Linked DNA regions of Canis lupus familiaris. The protein of the gene in region 2 interacts with the protein of the main gene of each other region in a biochemical or structural test. Links are inferred from orthologs where the notes say so. Each region holds a gene or a part of one and is shown on either strand. Other genes may lie near its edges.

Region 1 (5,854 bases), on a different chromosome or scaffold from region 2:
CTCCCACCTCAGAACTTCTGGGCCCCCAGCCCAGCCATAAGCCCTCACCGGATGAATTCCTGGAAGGCCTTCACCACCTGCTTGGTGGCTCCAGGGATGTGCACGGTGTCAAAGGGGGCGGCCACAGCACATGTCCCACCCTTATACTTGCCAAGCCGACAGCCGACTGTGTTGTCCTCCCCGTCCACCCCGACGCCGACCAGAAACTCACACTTATTACGATACTCGGTCTGCAGGAAGGGTGGAGGGAGGCAGAGAGACACGCCTGACCTTACTCTGGCCGTCCAGCACTTGTGAGCGGCCAAAAGAGCTCATCAAGTGAGAGATGGTGGTGAGCGAGAGGCACCAGTTTCCCCACGGGGCCTGGCGGTCCAGGGGATGGGGCTGACAACAAGTAACAGTCACGTGACGAACACCAGAAAGAGACAGAAAACAGGGAAAGCTATGATAGAGGTAAGAGAGAAGAGCTCCTCTTAGAACACGAGGTGGATTTCTGGTTGCAGCAGCCGGGCCTGACCTGCTGGGGTGATGGCCTAACCCCCTCCAGTGGGCAGCAGGCCTTGTTGTGCTTGTGCCTCTGTGAGAGCAGCCAGGGCAGCAGGGCGCGGTTGGTGCTCCCAATTTCCCTGCAGGAGGAGGTGAGGCCAAGGTTGGACTCAGCCCGCTGCCCCCCGCCCCCACCACTACCCCCAGCCCCCACCACTACCCCCAGCCATTCTCCAAATGCCCAGGTGCCTGGGCTCCTCCTTCGGGACCTCACCAGCCCCCCTGATTATACACGGGGCTTCCTGGCTTACTGCCCACGAGACTGTGCAGCCGTGAGGACGTCTGCACGGCGCACGGTGGGGGCTGGACGAGCATGCAGCCGAGCAGAGCTTCGGGGCCACCGGGTGATCTGCACCCACACTCACTTGGCAAGCTTCTGTAGCACCTGCTCGCACTCCAGCCGCTTCCGCTCGAGCTGCTCAGCATAGGGCACGGTCCAAAGAGGGGTCACTACATCTGCGATGCAGGTGGCTGTGGGCTCACCCTCATCCTCGCGCCGCCTCTTCCTGGCCATGGGATCCGCCTTGGGCCTGGCGGGGCGCACGCTGAGTGGGCGGCCCTTCCAGAGGGCACCGTGCAGCACACGCAAGGCCTTGTCCCGCTCAGCGGCGCTGCGGAAGGTCACAAAGGCGCAGGGAGGCTGCCCAAAGAGTTTGGTCTTATGAGGCTGCAGGCCGAAGCGGCCCAGAAAGCGCCGGACGTCACTGAAGCTGGCGTGGCGGGGCACGTTCTGCAGCTCCAACTTGAAGATCTCCGAGGTGAACAAGTCGTCCCTGATGTAGCTGTAGAGCCCGGGCTGAGGCGCGGCCCCCGCGGCCGCCCGGCGCCCCTTCCTGCTCCTGCGCTTCCTCCCGGGGGGCCGGGGCCGCAGGGCTGCCCCGGGCACCGCCGCCGTCCGGGCCGCAGCCGTCCACGGGCACAGGGCGCTGTGCAGGGGCAGACGGGCCTCGGGGTGAGGACCGGCCCCAGGGCCTGGGCGCCGCCCACGAGCCCCCCGTTAAGGCACCCGGCGCCCCGGCTCGCCCCTCCCCCCGGCTCCCAACTTGCCCCCGCCCCACGTTGTCTCCTAGCGGCTTCCCGCCCGGCCTCCCATCACGATCTCCCTTCACTTTACCTCGTCGCCGAGCTCGTCACTCACCGTCCGGTCCATCCGCGTCGCGCCCGGGGCCCCCGCGAGGGCCACCTCCGCCTCCGGGCCCTGGGCCTGGCAGAAGGGAGGCAGGCGCTCCGAGGGCGGCCGCAACGCCGCGAGGCCGCTTCCCGGCTCCGCCCAGGGCGGGGGCGGGACTCGAACCCTCGCCGCTCGGGTTCGCGTCCCCGACGTGGGGTACGCCGCCCGCCCGCCAGGGGCCCGTGCCGGCCGCTCGCCTGGTTGGCCGCTCTCCCGTGAGCCAGCGCGTGCCGCCGAGGCCGCGCGTCTCTATCATCTCGACTTCCGGTGATGTCATCGCCACGCGCCAGCTCGGATCCCCTGGCCCTTAGCGAGCCCGAGGGGCGCGCGCCACCGCGGGGCGGAAGTGCGCGCGAGGGCCGCCGGGAGCGCACGTCCCCTGGCTGCCGGGCTGGCCGGGCATGCGCCGGGGGCGTTTTGGCGGGAAGCGCGGGGCGGGCAGGACAATGAGACTGTCCGCCGTGTGAGCCAATAAAGCTGCGCTGGTTTTGAATCGCGTCGCGTTTCCCGCCGCCGAGGTCAGGGGTCGGGGTTCGGGTCGCGGGGCGGAGGGAAGAGCGGGAGGGCGGGAGGCGCCGGCGCCAGACGCGGAGGGAAGGAGCTACGACCAGCCGCCGAGAGGCCGCGGAGCCAGCGACGACCGAGCCCGCCGAGCCGCCGCCGCCGCCGCCGCCGCGCCCCCATGGCGGCCGCCAAGGTGCGGCCGGGCTCGGGCGGGGACCGGGTGGGGGCCGGGAGGCCGAGGCCCCTGCCGGCGGCCACGTGGGCGGCCCGCGCCGCCGCCGCCAACCCCCGCCGGCTTGCGGGCTCCGTGCCTTGCGGAGCCTCGGCGGCGCGTGGTCGGAGCTTCGGGGAGCGCGGCCTGGGGCCCGCGGGGCCTGGGGGCGCGGGCTCGGGGGCTGCCGGGCGCCCGCGTGACCTTGGGGCGGGCCCCGCCGAGGCCGGGGCGCTCCATCGGGGCGGGGGGCGGCCCGCCGCCCAGGCTCCGTGGTCTCCGCTCGCTCTGCTGCTCGCCTGAGACCCAGGCGGGGGCCCGGCTTCCGCGGCTCGGCCCACTTGCAGGCTTCCCACCGGAACCGAGCGTCCCTCCCGCCGCCGCCTGCGCAGCACTTCATTCATTCTGTGCTCACGCCCTGAACGGCCGCAGGCCGCGGGGGCGGCGGTCTGGTTCCAGCCGGGTGGACCGGCCTGGCCGCGCGACCCGGGGGCGGCGGCTGCTCCGGGGACCGCGGGCCTCTGCCCGGGCGAGCTGGCCGACCGCGGAAGGCAGCTTTTCGTATTTGCTGTTCCGGCCCGGGACGGGTAGTAAAGCCCCCCGGGTTCTTACGGACTGCAGATCGCCAAGCCACGTGTTTTGTGAGACTTGAACCTAAAACGGGCTCTTCTGTGGCCTGTAGTTTTCTATTTGTATGATTTCTGTCGATGCATCAACTTTGGGATGTAAGATAAAACTGCCGGCAGGACGTGCATTTCACGTAAACTCTAGGAGTTGGTAGCCACTTTCACCCCCTTCTGCTAAACAAGAGCACGGGGTTTTTTTTTGGTTTTTTTTTTTCCCTTCAACCAGTAAACGTTGGTGAAAGGGTGACAGGCTCCATGAGGCTCTCTTCCACCATTGTGCCTTTTAATCTTCATCTAGTGCTGTCCTTATCCAGGTTTTACAGGTGAGGAGACAGGTGGGAAGTGATGAGGCAGTGCCTCTGGCCAGTAGGCCGCCCACCTTGAGGGGCCCCAGCCACACTGCACACACGTGCCTGATGCCTCTGCGGAGGGCGTGGAAGTTCAGCATCTTCCTGCACTCTTGAATGGGGGTGCCAGCCTTGTGTGAAAGACTGTGGGCTTAACCTCTTGCTCTGGGATGAGGCCATTCACTAGGAGGGATTGCCCACTGCGGGCACAGCTGAGCTCTGGGTGGGGGCCAGGCTCCGGAGCCAGCAGAGTCACTTCTCTGCACCTCCCTCCACAGGACACCCATGAGGACCATGACACCTCCACCGAGAATGCAGATGAGTCCAACCACGACCCCCAGTTCGAACCTATAGTTTCTCTTCCTGAGCAAGAAATTAAAACGCTGGAAGAAGATGAAGAAGAGCTTTTTAAGATGTAAGTAAGCTCACGTTGCTCCAGACCTTGGTATCTTTAGTGTAAGATTGAGTTTATGGTTTTTATGGCCATCAGGGTCTTGGCCTGGCTTGTAATTGGACTGAGACTGAGGAAAGGGCTTGGTTGGGATTGTGCAATAACTAATCCTATGTGGAAATCAAAAAGCTATTGGACGACTCTTCACTTGGTGCCCCTTCTTCTGGTGGCCAGTCCTGTGGAGAGCACAGGTGCTCCCTGGTGTCCTGTTCCTGCTGCTCTGTCCACAAAGGGGCATCGCCACAGTCCTCTGTCCTTGCCACCTTACAGGCTTGCTGCCTTTAGAGGTTTCCAACTGCACCTTTCATCTGGTTGAACAGGGAGTCTCTGCCATTGTTATCATTTCTTCTTTTGCGCTACAGACTTTGGCATCCTGAAGTTTGTGAACTCCCAAATCAGTGTTTTTATGCACAAAATGACACTTGAAATTACAAATGAAAGGGGATGGTGTTACACTTACCAAAATCATTTTCTAAAAAATCATTGTACATGTGTTTTTTGGCGCCTTCAGTAAGAAGCTACAAAGGCAGGTGTCATTTTTAAGTAGCACTGGCACCAGCCATTTGTTGAGATGTCTGTGACAAAATCAGCGCGCTGCTGAGACTGACCTGTTGCCTGTGCTCAGCATCACACGGAACGCTAGGTTCTGTTTCAAGTTAACGGAAATAGGCTGGAGTGCTTTTCCTGTCCAAGCTTACGGAGCTCCCCCACTTTTCAGATTCTATCCAAAAAGCCAGTTGAGGGTTCAAGTGCTTTCCTGACTCCTCCCTCTAAGGAAGGCAGATTGGGAAGACCAGCCTCTTCCCACTACTCTGAAAGGCCTGGGAAAGGAGAGTCACATATATCCCTTTGATCTCAAGAGAGTGGTGGGTCTGTCCCAGAAGACGCTGGATCTCCACATGTGTGCTTTGCCCAGAAATGGTGCCACAGCCAGGGACTGTTCCCTCCCAGGGGTGAGGACTGCTGCTGGTGCTGTCACACACACACTCACCCCCCGCTCTGGCCCTCCTGCCCACACTGGACTGAGAACTGCTCCTGGCAGTCCTGAACATAGGCCCTTCCTGAGGGAGGTGAGGCCAGCAGGTCAGGCCTTTACGTCTGGGCCCTTGGGCGTCAGGTGAAAGCTCTGGTGGCATCCTTTTGAGGGCAGTTATTTCCCTTAACAGAATTGAGTTTGGGAAAGAGAGCAGGGTGTTGTGCAGGAAATGGACCAGCAAGGCTGGGGTCCTAGGGGGAAGGAAATGGAGCCTGAAGTCCTAAGGGCAGGACTGTTGGGCTCACCACGGGGGCTTTGCTGCCCGGTGGGACGGGGCTTTGGCTGGGCCCAATGTGAGGTACTATTCTGGGCAGGAGGGCAGGGTGTTGGACCAGAGCTTGGTGGCCTGAGTAGAGGTCTACAGCCCCCTCTCTGTGTTGGGGGGCCAGGGAAAGAGGGCATCTCACAGCAGGGGGAAGGGCTGGCCCTGTGGACGACAGGGGTCCTCGACCTCTCTCTGTTTCAGTGCTACCCCTGTGGCCCTATGGGACACCAGGGGCTGCCCTGCAGTGTGATCACAGGCAAGCCTAGCGTACTTGGGGAGGGGGGTGTCTTTGCTGAGAAGTTGGGTCTTTCTGTTGGAAATCTCTTTTCTCTTTGATTATTCCAAGTAAAACCTGGGAATTGATTGTTGACTTGCTCTTTTGTTAGTTTTTAAACTAACAGTCCTAGAGGTACCAAGAAAGGAAAGGGTGTCTATGGTGGTGCTAGAAACAGCCATTTGTTCAATGCACAGAAAACAAGTGTTCTTTCCCAGCAAACATTTGGCTGTGTATTCCCCTCTCTGTGCACATCTAAGCCCTCTCTTAATGGCTTTTCTTGAAGGCGGGCAAAGCTATTCCGATTCGCTTCAGAGAACGATCTCCCAGAATGGAAGGAACGAGGCACTGGTGACGTCAAGCTTCTGAAGCATAAGGAGAAAGGGACCATTCGTCTCCTTATGAGGAGGGACAAGACCCTGA
Region 2 (5,200 bases):
GTATCTTCACCTGCAAACTCCTGTGACAACAAGATAGTTAAGTATTAATATAACCAACTTCAATTTTGGAAAATGTCCTCCTGGGAGGGGTGGAGGAAGATAGACAAGCACCTCCCTGTTTTGTCTACACAATGATAAAACCTATCCTTCAATTGGTTGGGTTAATATTATAGTGTATGTATTTTTAAAGATTATATGTATTACAAACAAAATGCAGGGGGGTAGGAGGAGAGGGAAGGACAAGCAGGCTCCCTGCAGAGTGCAGAGCAGGGTAGGGGGGTTTAATCCCAGGATACCATGCCCCAGAGATCATGATCTGAGCTGGATGTTCAAGGTGTCCCTAAATTATAGCATACTGATACAATTCTGTGTAGCTGAATTAAAACCAAAGGTGTTAACTGAGGAAAAAAAGTTTATTAAAAAGGCATAGTGCAATGTCATATATAAAATATACTTCCATAAGACAAGAGATTTAAAAAGTTGTTTCTCCTACAACTAATGATAAAGTTTAGCTACATTGTGACTATATAGCTGTTTTTTAAATATTTTATTTATTTATTCGAAGAGAGAGAGAGAGAGAGGCAGAGACACAGGCAGAGGGAGAAGCAGGCTCCCTTTAGGGAGCCGGACGTAGGACTTGATCCCGGGTCTCCAGGATCAGGCCCTGGGCCGAAGGCGGCGCTACACCGCTGAGCCACCCCAAGCTGACCTATATAGGAATTTCAAGTAATTTTCGCTCTCTTTGGCATTCTCTACTTATGACATAGCTAATATATTTACAATTTTTAAAAAACCTATTTATCTTAGAGGGAAAAAAAATCTGAGTAACATTATCATGTACGACCAATCCTTATTTAACCTTCACCAGTAAGATAATCCATCAACTTACAGATGTTACATTACTTTTAAATTTGTTTAAAAGAAAGTAATACAAGACAATTTCTTCTTCCCATAAATTTATTTTTTTTTCTTCCCATAAATTTAAATGAAGCATTGTGTAACAGCAGTAGAAAGAAGTGGATTATCTGCTAATTTGTCTTAATTCCCTAAAATGGATTACTAACAAAATGGGTATGAAATCCCCAAAGGGGCAATCAGTGTTTCTTTCCCCATAATGCACAATTTAAAAATCATCTATAGGATGACATGACCATTATTCCAAGACATTTTGATCATCCAAAATGAATTCTATTAATAACAAGTTTCCAAAAACATTTGTAACGCATCATGTTCTCAGCGATGACTTAGTTTTTCACTGTGTATCAGTCTAGGACTAGTAAGCTTAAATACCACTCAAAAATCCCATTCATTTTGCTTTAACAAAAAGCGGTACATTGTACAATCCAACAACTAAAACATACCAAGTACAAAGCACGTACCTTTATTTGTACTAGGAAATCCCTAAGATGTTCCTTGAAAGCAGGAATATCCTGATTTAAGCTGAAAAGCCCTGTCACAAAGAGCTTTACTTGAGCACTGCAAAACAAAACACAACGATTAAATATCACTGTTTTTTAACTGAAAAATATAGGTGTATTAAAAAGTGTATTTACTCTTGTAGATGAGGGAATGCAGATTTAAGGAGATTTGCCACATATTCCTGAATGAACATTTGGTTGTTAACTGGATTTCCAGGATTTAATGGTGTACTTATTTTTCCTTCTTCAACCAAATTAAACATATATGCCAGTATTGACGCATGCATTGTCAAACCTGTTGATAAGAAGAACATCATTAACTCCACAGTTAATAACAACTTGAACACTTAAGATTTTCATGGCTATAAATTCTTACCAGCAGTATGTGAGGTGTCTGTCACAACAGAAAAGATATGCTGAAGAATATCACAAAAATAAGTTTGATAGAAACTCTGAGCTGCAGCTTCTTCTTGTGCAACATTTTGTAAGAGTGTAAAAAGTATCTGTAAGCCTAAAATGTACAAAAACACTAATGAAGTTATTACAGCCGGTTAACATTCACACAGAATTTCCACTATTCAACTCTTCTGATTCAAAAGCCATTCTTAACCCTCTTTCCACTAGTGACTAACAATTATTTGCCTAAATTACCTTGAATAATGGGAGTTCATCTAGCATCAATGTCTGCTTATAGATTACAGTAATAACCATTACCAACTTTCCACTATATCTGAAAGTTTAGATTCTCTCCAAATCAACTCTAAAAACAGCATTACGAAAATACAAGTATATTACATAAACCAGTTTCTATTAAAAAATAAAAATTTCTCTCGAAAATGTGGTTTTCTCCTTATTTTGACCCTTAGCGGGACAGAGGAAAAGCATATGGGGAAAAGGAAACATTGGTATGGATGCGGAAAAGTAATGTCGCTCTACTTTGAATTTTCACCCATCTCCCTGTAAATCAACCCTACACCTGTGGACTCAACCATAGAAGAGAGGATTCAACTGCTTTTAGTATTTACTTAGACCTACATATGCCACAGATGTACTCACACAAAACCCACATAACAGTGCTACCTAATTCCTTCAGATCTAAGTTTAAGAGCCTGTGGATTGTAAGATGAATGAATAAAAAGGGTATTTAAATAAAAGGACGTGTATTTACCTGTATCTGCAACATTCCTCATAGTATGTTTGAAAGCCCAAATAATGGAATCCAAAACAAGTTTAAATTGTGCAGGTGGTATTGCCAGGAATGCTGGGAAACAATGAGAATTGACAGCCTGAAGTAGTAAGAAAAAGTTTGTTCTGTGTTCAGGATATTCTTCAAAGTCCTATAAACAAAAGATGAGAACAAAATAAAGTTTCAATGCCTTAATTATGTTTAATAAAAAAGAAAAAGTAAATCCTAATTTAGTATAAAGCTTTGGAATTGTTAATGGGCCCCATCCAGTGTATGTAAGATATTGGTTTCCTGATCAGCAAACCTGAAATCAACACAATTTGCCTCTCATGGAAGATGTAATTACCACTGATTACACAAATGAATTACTAAAAATAAGGACTACAAGGTCCCATTATAAGGAGTCAAAACCCATAAAGAACATATTTTCAAGTTACTCTTAAGAAAATTACTACCATGTTATGATTCTGACTTCAAGATCACAAATATAGATCCGAGAATTTTTAGCTACTGTGTAAATTTGTGGACTTAGATCTACATTTTCCTATCTTACTTAATACATTTCCCCATTTCTTGTGTGTGTGTATATATATACACATATACATTACTGAATATAGTTTTTATGTAAATTTACTATTTTGCAGTTAAGATTGTTTTAAGATTTGAGGGAGTACATGTGAATTGGGGGGAGGACCAAAGGGAGAGAATCTTCAACAGACTCCTTGCTGAGTGTGGAGACTAGACTTGGTGTGTTACCTCACCATTCTGAATTCAAGATCAAGATCAAGCGGAGACCAAGAGCAGAAGCTCAATCAACTGAGCCATCCAAATGGCCAAAGATCTTTTTAATAGTAAATACATTTTTTTAAAGATTGTATTTATTTATTCATGACAGAGAGAGAAAAAGAGAGAGAAAGGGGGGCAGAGGGAGAAGCAGTCTCCACACAGGGAGCCTGACGTGGGACTCGATCCTGGGTCTCCAGATCATACCCCAGGCCGAAGGTGGCGCTAAACCACTGGGCCTCCAGGGCTGCCCAATAGTTAATATTTTTAAAAGTACTTCTCTGGTCTAAATGTTCAAATATTTAAACTAGTTAATCCCATAGCTATCATTTATGCTTTCAAGTCTTACAAGGATACATAATGCAGAATTTCCCATACTGAAATGTAAACCACATACCTTATTTATCATATTCAATGTGCATTCAAAAACAGCATCAAATATTTGAGGTATTTCAGCTGTTATATGTCCTCCTAACTTGTTGACAATAATAGCCATAGTACTAAGCACTTCTGGTTCTCTAGCAGCTGGTACATTTCTCTGATAATCAATGAGAACTGCATCCAATAAAGGAGGAACAAAATTTTCAGCTACCTGTTAAAAAAAAAAAAAAACTTTACCCAAGTTTTTTATTTATTTTTTTTTTAAATTTTTATTTATTTATGATAGTCACACAGAGAGAAAGAGAGGCAGAGACACAGGCAGAGGGAGAAGCAGGCTCCATGCACCAGGAGCCCGATGTGGGACTCGATCCCGGGTCTCCAGGATCGCGCCCTGGGCCAAAGGCAGGCGCCAAACCGCTGCGCCACCCAGAGATCCCCCAAGTTTTATCCTATGCACTTGCTTACCATCATAAACAGCTAGGTCAATGTTATATTGAAATTTAGGTTGAATATCTGCTTAAAACTGGAAAATCCCACGTTTTATTTTTTTATTTTTATTTTTTTTTAATGATAGGCACACAGTGAGAGAGAGAGAGAGGCAGAGACACAGGCAGAGGGAGAAGCAGGCTCCATGCACCGGGAGCCCGATGTGGGATTCGATCCCGGGTCTCCAGGATCGCGCCCTGGGCCAAAGGCAGGCGCCAAACCGCTGCGCCACCCAGGGATCCCCCACGTTTTATTTTTAAAAAAAAAATTTAAAGGTTGTTTATTTGACAGAATGAGAGCAACAGGCCGCCCACTGAGCAGGGAGCCCAATGTGGGGACTCAATCACAAACCTTGGGATTCTGACCTGAGCCAAACGCAGTTGCTGGACCAACTACCTGAGCCACCAAGTACCCCTAGAAAATCCCGTTTTTTAATTTGGTTTTGGACATTAAGACTTTTTACCAAAAGAAACCAAGGAATTATAATAGGCTGGGAAGAGCCACAGATATATTGATATTTCAAATCTAATTGCTAAGGTTAAACTAAGGCCCAAAATGAAGTTACTGGCTACACGTTACTATGGCAGGGCCAGGATTTTAGGGATATGTTATATGGGATAACTTACCTAAAAGAAAAGAAAAGCCCTCCTAATCAATACTGCATTAATTTTGTCAATGAATATCTATAAAAACCAAGCAGCGCATATCTAATACAAAGTAGACATCCATTCAATGATTTTTATTAAACTTAGTGAATGCTAACTGGTAAATACTTTAATAAACAAAACCCAAAGCCACCACTTACTCTTGTAAAAGGAATTAGAACTGTACCAGGAAGACATGAGTCTCAGTAAACAGGGTCATATTAAGGTGTAGCTTTATGTGTCTTTAATAGGTTCTTTATTACCATATGGACAATAAACAGTGTTTCTTGTAACAAGGTCAC
Region 3 (5,036 bases), on a different chromosome or scaffold from region 2:
AGCTGTGGGCCACAGCACCGAGTCCAATGTCTGGTGCATAGTAGATGCTGAGGAATCTGTGAACAGTGGCTCAGTGAGCAGCCTTGGTCCCAGCATGAGGGCCATCAACCCCGCACTGGGGAGTGGTCTGGCCCCAGCACCCCCAGCGTCCCTGTGGCTCTGACCAAGTCCCTCCACAGGAGAAGGCACGATTCCCGTGGAGTCCAGTGACATTGTGCCCACGTGGGACGGCATCCGGCTTGGGGAGAGGCTCCGCACCATGTCATGCAGTGACAAGATCCTTCGCTGGAATGTGCTGGGCCTTCAGGGGGCGCTGCTAACCCACTTCCTGCAGCCCGTGTATCTCAAGTCAGTCACTCTGGGTAAGGGCCCACCGCTGCCTGCCTGCCCAGTGACAGAGAGACTGCCGCAGGGTCTGGGCTTCCTTGCCACCGCCAACCCCCACCCCCTGCCCCCAGCCTGGAGCCCGATGTGTTGTGCCTGTGGCTTGAGTGGACACATGCCCTGTGCAGCCCCACCCACGAGGCCTGCCAATGAGGGTGCCACCTCTATCTCAACAGCACTCCCCGGCCCCCTCTCTGCCCCCCATACACCTCTCAGCAACACCCGGCGCAAACACAGGGGCACACACCTCCGTTTCCTCACAGGCTACCTGTTCAGCCAAGGACATCTGACTCGTGCCATCTGCTGCCGTGTGACGAGGGACGGAAGTGCCTTTGAGGATGGGTTGCGGCCCCCCTTCATTGTCAACCACCCCAAGGTGCTCGCTCCCTTTTCCCTTGACCTTCACTGTGGGCAGGGGAGGAATGTCGTGGGTTTCCCGGGAGCTGGTCCTCTGTACTCTCGGACACCAGGGGCTTGCTTCTTAGGTTGCAGCATATTTGCATACAGTTAGGGTTCACCAAACAGCATCCCAGACCAGGAGAAAGACCCCCAGCTGCCCCCTCTGCCCCAGGGGCCCTGAGTCCCTGCGACAGGACTTCCCAGAAGGCCTCCATCTTCTCCCTCCCACCCCCGGACTCGTAGGTGGGCCGAGTCAGTGTGTACGACTCCAAGAGGCAGTCCGGGAAGACAAAGGAGACGAGCGTGAACTGGTGCCTGGCTGACGGCTACGACCTCGAGATCCTGGATGGGACCCGAGGCACCGTGGACGGGTGAGGCCCAATCCACCATGCCCCCCCTCACATGCCTCCCACAAACCCCCCCCTTCTCTGGACCCCAGGGACTCACCAGCGCCTCCGTCCCCCAGGCCACGGAACGAACTGTCACGTGTCTCCAAGAAGAACATTTTCCTCCTGTTCAAGAAGCTGTGCTCGTTCCGGTACCGCAGGGATCTTCTCAGACTCTCGTATGGCGAGGCCAAGAAAGCCGCCCGAGACTATGAGCTCGCCAAGAACTACTTCAAGAAGAGCCTCAAGGACATGGGTTACGGGAACTGGATCAGCAAGCCCCAGGAGGAGAAGAACTTTTACCTCTGCCCCGTGTGAGGGGGGCCGGGGCCGGGGGGCCACACAGCTGGGCCGTAGCTTCCTCATCTCTTCAGTCTCGGGGAGGGGAGGGGATCCTTGTCTTTTCCTTTTTTCTTTTTTTTTTATTTTTTAATTTTTTGGTGGGAGCAGGTTGATGACCCTGAGAACCACCAGCCCCCTGCCCTTTCTGTGGCAAGGGAGGCCCGTCTTCTCCTCCTGCCGCACAAGCACGAGGGCCTATGGCCCACCTCCCGCTCAGCCCCACTTTGGTGTCCACGTCCTCTGCCGTGTGTTTGCTGCACCAACTCTCACCCTCCAGGTCAGGCCCCCATCCGCCATCTGTGCTGAGTTCTGCAGGGCCAGAGGTTTCACTGGTGATTCTGCAGGCCCCTCCGTCTCCCCTCTGCCCTTTTGCAATTCTCTCATGATCACTAAGCTTCTCCTTTTCCTCCAAGATCATAAGAGGTGAACTTACAGAATTCGGTGAAATACACAAGGACAGGGTTGTAAAACTGCGGTTCATTAATTCCCAGGGCGGGCACGTCCCGAGTCTGCAGGTGATGTCCAGTAACCTTCGGGTCTTGCACTTTAGCCAGCGAGGAGGGCTGGGCTGCCGAGAGGGCCAGCAAGGCCTAGGGGTGGCCCCTGCCGTAGCAAACGCCCCATGGGGTGACACCGTCCGCCCCAGGGAGCACAGACATGCCTCACGACACCGCCAGCCCAGCTGTCCTCCAGAAGCATTCCTATGGATTTGTCAGGCCAGCAGGGCACAGATCCCAGTGCACAGCAAGGGTTCTTGCAGGGCAAGTCCTTGGCTCAGATAATCAGGACTTAGAATCAGGGCAGATCAATCATGTTGGGTCAGATCACTGTACCACCCAGTACCCTCATGACACTGCACCTGAGAAAGTTGACCAAGTCATAGGTAAATTAGGAGTTTTTAAAAATGTCATAAATGTTGATTCTTAACTGCTACAGATAATCTGTAATTGCACAGAATTTAAAGTCAGACCTAATTTTCCATTTATCAAGTGCTCCTGTTTGCCAGCTCGCTTCAGAAGGGCCAGCCATGGCCTGAGGTCTCCTGGCCTATCAGGGAATCTTTGTAGGATGGATGCTCAACAGCAGTTAAAACCCTGTGAGCTGGGACCCCACCTCCCCCTCCCCGTCCATACCTCAGGCTTGTGGTGACTCCCAGGGTCAGAGCCTACAGTGTCTCTGGAGGCTGGCTCGATCCTGCATCAGCTACACCCCACCTCCAGGGGTACCCCCCTCACTGCCTGACAGCACCCGGGCCTGTGCCCTCACATGATTTTCCCTCCGCCCCTACACCCCACAGACTACTGACAAGGCCACCCCGTCTGGCCCTCCTCTTCAGTGGTAGATACACCCACACTTTTGTTCTTGTGGCTACTATTTCCTCTGTGCTTTTGACCAAAAATTGACCAAAATTAAAAAAAAAAAACATTCAAGTTTTTTTAAAGTATACTAAAGATGTCTGTGGAACAGCCAAGTGTCTCAAGGAACTGGTAGGGAAACGGTGCCTACTTATGGGGCGGAGGGGCCTGGCCCCATCCTGCGTACCTGCTGGGGGCACATGAGGCCTGTCTTGCCCAACGTGGCTCGTCCCCCAGGCTCTTCAGACTGGAGGGTCTGGCCTGCTGACCCCACAGAATGTCCAGACCCTCCGCTCCATCTTGGGTGTTAGAATCTCCAGCAGAGCCCCACTCAGCCCAAGGTCAGATGAGACGCATCTGGTTTCTGCTGTAGGAAGGGGGCACAGCATCCTGTGCTCATGTGTGTGCTGGAGACGATCCCGCGTGCGGCCTGTGTCCCCGCGCCCCTCGGGGCACAGCTCCTGTCCACAGTGCTCACCTTTTTGTCAAATCTTTGTTTTTAGTAACCAGGACGCCCTTCTTCCTTTTTTAAAATGATCTTTGTAGTTGATTTGTCTGAACTGTGGCTATTGTGCATTCTCTGAATAATCACTTGTGAAAATTGTCGCTGCTCGAAGCTATTTCCTTTACTCTCGTTGAGCGACTGTTGGTTTGGGTCCTGGTGTGACTCCAAGAGCAGATTGGAAAGAGCCCAAGCACAGACTTGGTGCTACCGGGGCTGCAGTCAGGTTTACGATTCCGCTTTGATGTGTCCCCTGATAACCGTGACTAACAATATACATTCCTCATAAATAAAGAAAAATCTGAATTGTTAGAAAGTTTCCTGTCTTGGCTTCCCCGGGAAGGGAGAGTGGGGGCAAGGGGGCCATGATCCTGGGGTTTCTGGGGCTGGGCGTCCTTTCCTGACTGCCCCGGCCCCACACCCAGCGCCCCCACAGAGCCTTCAGGTTAACACCTTGTGCTCGGAGATGTGGGATGCAGGATTCCAGCCTGGGTGGGAAAACCACCTGTGACACAACATCTCAAGTCATGTGCATCACCCCTACTCTGTTGGGGCGTTTTTCTCCAGCCCAACCCCAAACAGTACTCCCGGCAGCAGCCATCCCGCCTGTAGGAACATGCATGTTTGGAACAAGTCTCTGGCCAGGCTGCCGTCTTAGGAGACCTGCCATGGCCTTCAGCTTGGGGAAGGCACCGGATCATATTCCCGCAGGGCGTCAGAGGGAATGTGCCCCTTTCCACGCGGTGACAGCCCAGAGGCTAGCACACTCATCCCTGACTTTTTAACACGCTGTCCTCCTAGAGGACACAGAGTCATGGTGAAGCCTCCTTCCCCATCCACTGCAGATGGGACAGTGGAGGCAGGAGGGCCAGTGATGTGTTTGGGGGCTTGTAAGGGGCCACAGCTGTGCATGGGTGTCATTCGTGATCTGCCGAGACCAGTGCTGAGTTGGCTGGATGGTTTCTGAGGACAGCAAAGGAGAATGCCTCCGGCGCCAGGATGTACCAGGGACCTCTTAGTGACTCCCGATCCCCTACCCCCCTACCCCCCTACCCCCCGGGGGTTCGAAGACACAGATAATTTCCTTTCTTCACACCTAACTTGAGCGCCAGACCTGTGTGTGTGGAGGGAAGGAGCCTATCCCCGCCACCAGCTCCGAGGGGCTGGAAGAGACAGGGCTGGGGCACAGGGCAGCCAGGGGTGGTCAGCTCACAGGTCTGCCCTCTGTTCCCATTGACCTGTGTTCCATCAGGGGCCACAGCTGAATGGTGCCTCCAGGTCGAGACCCAGGGCAGACCAGGGTCCTAGGGACCACGCAGCCTGCAACCTTGACCTCCCTGCACAGATGAGCTGCAAGGAGACCCCATGGATCCTGACTCCAGGCCCTTCTAGAGGAGCGTCCCCAGGAGCAGCCTCAGCTCTGCTGCCCCAGGTCCAGCCACGTGGCCATTTCTTCCCCAGCGACTAGAGTCCTTGTAAAGCACAAATCCCAGAAATCAAAGTGACTGCTCACCTTCAGGTTCTCGTACTTTCATGCCTCACAAGTCCAATTTCTCCAGCTCCCCTCACCCCCCGCTTTCCCACATCTGCCAACCCTGCCCCCAGATACAACAGAGACAAGACGTCTTTGGAAACAACTTTTCTTTGCGAGAATCTTGAGTTCCTAAT
Region 4 (5,200 bases), on a different chromosome or scaffold from region 2:
GGCAGGTAACAGGAGGCAGCCAAGCAGCCATTGGTCCACTGGGTTCTGCTCTGAGCATGAGATCCAGGTGACAGAGGTCACTCCAAGGGCCAAGGAGAACTTGGGTCCTGCCTTGTCTGTTGAAACACACCATCCTGGCCCCTTCACAGCTGTGCCCAGAATGGGAATAAGGGAGGGAGCCAGGGGATTGGGCGGGGGAGGAGATCCAGGATTCTGGTGAAATCTGCTTCCCCCACTCCCACCTCCATCCTGCCCTCCAGAAGGACCAGGTTCCTGGTCCAGGTGCTGCCTCCTCACCCTGGGCCCCAGGCTAGGGGATGACCTGGGCCACTCTGAGGCTGGCCACCCGGCCCAAGACACACACCTGGAGCTGATATACTGAAGGAAATAGTTGGTCGCAGTTGGCGTTTCTGAACTGGGATGTCCGGCATTCTCCATGTCAGCTACTTCAGTGTTCTCATTTGTTAACTGGGAAACAGAGAGGCGACACTTACTGCCCAGACAACGCCTGTTCGGGACCTCAACAGCTCAGCCTGTCTGCATACCCCAGGGCCTATGGCACAGCTCGTGTGTGTGTGTGCATGTGCACGTGCGTACACCGGGGGGGGGGCACGCGCTGTAATCAACTTTGCCATTTCTGCTTTTAATGGTTAAGATAGAAAAAGAGTTTGTAAGGCATCAGGGAACTTTTTCTACCTTGTTTAAAAAAATAAATCCCTCAATTGACATCTTGTTCCCCTTTTCACCAATGCTTGTAATGAGAGGCCACAGAATGCTTCCAAATCTGGCATTTTAAGGGGTTTATTATAAATATAATAAAAACATCGTTTCTTGAGGGCTTTTTTTTAATGCTTGCTAACTGCTGTGCCAGCTCTGTTGAATCTATCATCGAATGTGATACTCCCAGGAACCCTGAGAGGTATTATCAACCTCGACCTACTGAGTGAGAAAGCAGGGGTTCAGGGTGCCAAGAAATCGCCCCCATTGAGAAGCTGGCATGTAACTGTGATACTACAGATCACGTGAGCCCTGAGCCTCCGTAAGACAGGGCCTCAGCCCCAATTTCAAGGCAGCCATCCCCCTGGACTCTAGGAACAGACTTGACCTGGCGGTTTAGGCCAGGCCCCTGCCCCCTAGCATAGGTGGATCTCAAGGCCCTTCCTTCTCCGGCTTCCTCCTCCCTGGAGTGAGCAGCCTCCAAGGGACTCATTACTTTGGCTAAAGTCACGCAACAGCAATGCTTACTTTTCATCCCTAGGGATTTGTGTTTCTGTTGGACAGCGAACACCAAAGGAGAAGGCAGATGGCACAACCTGATGTTTTCTACGTGCTGGAGAGACTTTTTTATTCCTTTATTTCAGGATTTCTCCTTCTCAGCATCACTGACATTGGGGCTGGATCTTTCTCTGTGGGGAAGCCGCCCTGGACACCGTGGGGTATTGGGCAGCATCCCCTGCTCCCACCCACTGGATGGCAGTGGTACCTACACCCTAGCCGTGACAACCACAAACGTCCCCAGACACAGCCACTCATGTTGTCTCTCAGGCTTCTAAAGGAACTCCTGCCAGATGAGCTGCTGGAAACGGCACAGAGGGACACTCTATCCTGGTGGCTGGAAAGGTAGTGTTGCCTAATTCTGGCTTCTCAGAGTGACAGCACACAGGGTCCCGAGCCCAGAGCCCCTGCCAGATGCTCTCTACCCCTGACTCAAAGTCCCCAGACTAGACCAATAGGCCTTGGGGGCAGCCAGGAGGGGACAGATGCTATTGCTTAGTATGGGACAGAATAGTTATTTTTCTATCTGCCCTACCTTAAAAAAAATAAGGTAATGATTCTCAATTAGGGGTGACTTGGTCCCAAAGGGAATGCTCAGCCTCATGAGGGGACACTTTGGGTTGCCGCGTCAGGGGGTGGGGGCATACTCCTGGCACCCGGAGGGGGAGGGCCAGGGATGCTGCCTGGTACCCTAGGATACCCAGCCCTCCAACAGCTGACAATGAACCTTGTCTAAACGTTGCTTTGTGCCAAGACAGAGCAGCTCCCAAGTTAGGCAATGACAAGCTCTCCAGTGACGTCGAAAGCATCGGATGGTGCTGTCCCCTTTGCTACGAAAATGTTGGTTTCCAAGGAGAGGCACGCTCGGTTTCGTCCCATCCCCGGCGACTGGGAGAACAAGGGAGGCCTCCAGGGAGCACGCCGGGAGCTGAGCAGTGCAGCAGGGAGGCCATGCCAGCAGTCAGGGACAAGCCTGCGGCTATGCCACCTCCACCTCCCGCCCCCTGAAGGGAGAAGCGGAGGTCCTGTGGTTGAACTGGAGGAGGCAGAAGAGACCGACCCCGGAGTGCGAGCACCCATCCGGGCCTCTGATCCACACACCTTGACTCGGTCCCTCAGGTTCTGCCCGAACACAAACGCCTGCTGCGCAACTTGCTCTCTTTTCTCACAGTTCTCCTCCTCACAAGTATCGCTAGACTCATTTTTCTGGGGCTCTTTCTCCTAGTTTGAAACAAAAACAAGACAACAACTGAAAAGAAGTGACAGGTTAGCCCCAAGAAGCAAGGTGGGCCATCTCTCGCAGTTCCGTCTGCTCAAGGGGTCTCCTCTGGCTCAGGTCCCCGGGGGGCTGCTGCCGCCCGGGTGTGGCCTGTCCTTGACTCCCCGGGGACGCCGGAGGTGGGCGGGCCAGGCAGCTTCCCAGACTCCCTCCAGCTCACAGCCCTGCTGCGCTAGCCGCCCTAGCTATCCAAGTCTCCAAGCAGCAGCAGGTTGCAAAGATGGCTCCTAATTTTAATTCTGCTAATTGTGGTCTGAAGGAGCGGGGGTTGCTCAGGGATGTTTTAAAAATGAATTGTAGACGATCGATTTCACCATTTGCTCTCCAGCAACTATGGGGGGTGTGTGGGGGAGGTGGAGGGGCCAGAACTCAGGCAGCAGCTCAGCTGCCAAAACAGCCCAGTCGAAATAAACACACACATGCAATCTGGCTTTGTGAATGGAAGCCTTGGTGTGGTGCTGCAACTTGCATTTCAGATTCACCTCTGCCACCCGCAAATGCAGGCTCTTTGGTACATGCTCCTCATTTTTCAGTTGCCGGGCAATACCACTAGAAAACACATGCTCTTGGCCTATAGAAACCCAGAACCCCAGACTTTGCTGTGTCTGCCTATCAATCAATCAATCAATCAATCAATCAATCAATGTTCTGAGCTGATTTCTTCAGCTAGAATGGGCCCACCTATGCGAACCCCCGTGTTGTTCAGGTGTGGAAACAGGGAGGGGAGACAGCTTTCCATGTAAAAGGGCACACTATCTCATCAATGAAAGCCATTCCTGTGGCTCCAAGGACCCCCGCCCCCCCAGAGGCCAGGCCCAGAGGCCAGCTGGCCACTTGTACAGGGAGGTGCTGGGTCTGGCCTCTGGAACCCAGACAGAACTCTGGAACTGCGGACAGACCATCCTTGGCATTCTAGCAACTATGGACATCAGCTGCAGTTGCACATGCACACCACTGAGCAAATACAGAAAGCCTTAACACAGGCCTACCCAGGCACTGCTCTGAGCAGGTAACTTGTCTACACACTCAGTAAAGCTCCGAGAAGTTTCAGGTGCTCCCTGCCCAGCACAGAAACACCTCAAGTGCTCGCACCTCGTCAGAGGGACTTCTCCGTGCAGGGTTGTCAGGTGATGTTGCTGTCATGGCCCCCGTGCAGTCTGCTGGGATACTGACTCCGTTGGTGCCGCTGCTTGGGACTGCAGGGACAAGAAGATGGGGTGTGTGTGTGTGAAACCTCAAGTGCTCCCTTCCACCATTTAGACCAACAGTGTAATTTCTCCTCTTTAAAGAAAACGATCTAATGTCCCTACTGAAAATTACATTCTTACATTGAAAAACCCAACCTCAGAACTAAAACCTCACAGAGGTGAGAATATCTTATTGCTTACTCCACAAAGAACTGTATGAATTTTAGTGTACTCAGAAATGATACTGTGAAGATAAAAGAGAAAAGTAATATATATTGAAGGAATGATTATGAGTTTTATAAAACGTTTTACTCATAACATCTTTATTCTATGCACTTTTCCCTATAAATAGCTGAGATCACATGATGTGTGCAGCTTTAAATTTGGCTGATTGGTTAGCCTCGCTTATAAAAAGCTTTCCTGTTGAAACTCTTCAGAAATATTAACTATTTCCCCCATGTGGGATGTTGGATTGCTTCTGATGAATTTTTGAATTACAGGGAGAGGCCAAGAGAAAGACAAGAAAAGCTCATTAAGAAACTAAAAGGTCAACTGAACACCATGCCCTGTGTGGAGATCATGGAAATATGGGTTAAGATTTAGGTCTTATGGTGGAAAATCAGATGATTTGCACATAACTAAAATGACCCTTCAAATCTCTCAGACACACAGGGCCAAGTTTTGCCTACAAATATGCTGGGCTGAACCAGAGACACTTGAGAGGAGCCAGCTTTTGTGAAGCCAGTATGCGCAGAAAGCAGGACTTACCTAGTGGTCACCTTGGCCTGGTGCCACAGGGAGACGGTGGGACCATACCGTCTTCCCTGGGCTCACCAGGGATTTATTTATTTTTTTATTTTACTTTTTTTTAAAAAAAGATTTTATTTATTCATTCATAGAGAGATACAGAGAGAGGGGCAGAGACACAGGTAGAGGGAAGAGCAGGCTCCTCGCAGGGAGCCTGATGTGGGACTTGATCCCAGGACCAGGATCACGCTCTGAGCCAAAGGCAGATGATTAACCACTGAGCCACCCAGGCGTCCCTCACCACGAATTTACAGGATTGTTCCCACAGCTATTTCTGAGTGCATTCAGCAGATAGGGCCAAAGTCACCTGTGTCAAGAAACAGCTGTCCCAGGCCAACTTCAGGATCACTCTACACCCTGCTGAGTGAGCCTGGATGCCAGGGCAGATTCTTACCGGTCTGTGAGAGTGCCTTTGGCTGTGGGGCTTGTAACACTGCCGGGCGAAGCACACTCCGCTGTTGTTCCTTGGGCTTCTGGCTTGGTAGACCTGAGAAGAGAGATCTGCTTGCCTGGGCCTTCAGACCTCATGGGTAGAAACACACAGCCCTGTACTGGCTCTCAGGGGCTTTACAGAAATTGAGTGAGTACAGTAATGCCAAGGGGGGGGGGGGGGGGAACGGACCAAGGGACAGCTATCCTCAAGTACTGGGCT

The links.
Region 1: the proteins of XPO1 (region 2) and RANBP1 form a complex in vitro, tested with the Homo sapiens proteins (3 studies listed by BioGRID, with this or other methods). The link is inferred for Canis lupus familiaris from reciprocal best matches to the Homo sapiens genes XPO1 and RANBP1.
Region 3: the proteins of XPO1 (region 2) and ADAR form a complex in vitro, tested with the Homo sapiens proteins (2 studies listed by BioGRID, with this or other methods). The link is inferred for Canis lupus familiaris from reciprocal best matches to the Homo sapiens genes XPO1 and ADAR.
Region 4: the proteins of XPO1 (region 2) and RANBP3 form a complex in vitro, tested with the Homo sapiens proteins (2 studies listed by BioGRID). The link is inferred for Canis lupus familiaris from reciprocal best matches to the Homo sapiens genes XPO1 and RANBP3.

What each region holds. Positions count from the first base shown.
Region 1 is NC_049247.1:29,377,896-29,383,749, reverse strand, and holds the start of RANBP1 (ran-specific GTPase-activating protein), read left to right. Parts: upstream 1-2,267; 5' UTR 2,268-2,399; coding exon 2,400-2,414; intron 2,415-3,362; exon of another isoform or gene 3,363-3,381; intron 3,382-3,683; coding exon 3,684-3,820; intron 3,821-5,717; coding exon 5,718-5,854. Other genes in the region: TRMT2A (tRNA (uracil-5-)-methyltransferase homolog A), read right to left, coding at 49-230, 518-626, 912-1,518, 1,685-1,994. UniProt on the Homo sapiens protein: Plays a role in RAN-dependent nucleocytoplasmic transport. Alleviates the TNPO1-dependent inhibition of RAN GTPase activity and mediates the dissociation of RAN from proteins involved in transport into the nucleus.
Region 2 is NC_049231.1:62,834,824-62,840,023, forward strand, and holds part of XPO1 (exportin-1), read right to left. Parts: intron 3,980-5,200; coding exon 3,785-3,979; intron 2,756-3,784; coding exon 2,587-2,755; intron 1,930-2,586; coding exon 1,795-1,929; intron 1,714-1,794; coding exon 1,554-1,713; intron 1,477-1,553; coding exon 1,380-1,476; intron 21-1,379; coding exon 1-20. UniProt on the Homo sapiens protein: Mediates the nuclear export of cellular proteins (cargos) bearing a leucine-rich nuclear export signal (NES) and of RNAs.
Region 3 is NC_049228.1:42,768,229-42,773,264, forward strand, and holds the end of ADAR (double-stranded RNA-specific adenosine deaminase), read left to right. Parts: intron 1-179; coding exon 180-362; intron 363-647; coding exon 648-760; intron 761-1,026; coding exon 1,027-1,154; intron 1,155-1,249; coding exon 1,250-1,487; 3' UTR 1,488-3,680; downstream 3,681-5,036. UniProt on the Homo sapiens protein: Catalyzes the hydrolytic deamination of adenosine to inosine in double-stranded RNA (dsRNA) referred to as A-to-I RNA editing.
Region 4 is NC_049241.1:54,560,105-54,565,304, reverse strand, and holds part of RANBP3 (ran-binding protein 3), read right to left. Parts: intron 5,036-5,200; coding exon 4,943-5,035; intron 3,751-4,942; coding exon 3,647-3,750; intron 2,497-3,646; coding exon 2,377-2,496; intron 469-2,376; coding exon 365-468; intron 1-364. UniProt on the Homo sapiens protein: Acts as a cofactor for XPO1/CRM1-mediated nuclear export, perhaps as export complex scaffolding protein. Bound to XPO1/CRM1, stabilizes the XPO1/CRM1-cargo interaction. In the absence of Ran-bound GTP prevents binding of XPO1/CRM1 to the nuclear pore complex.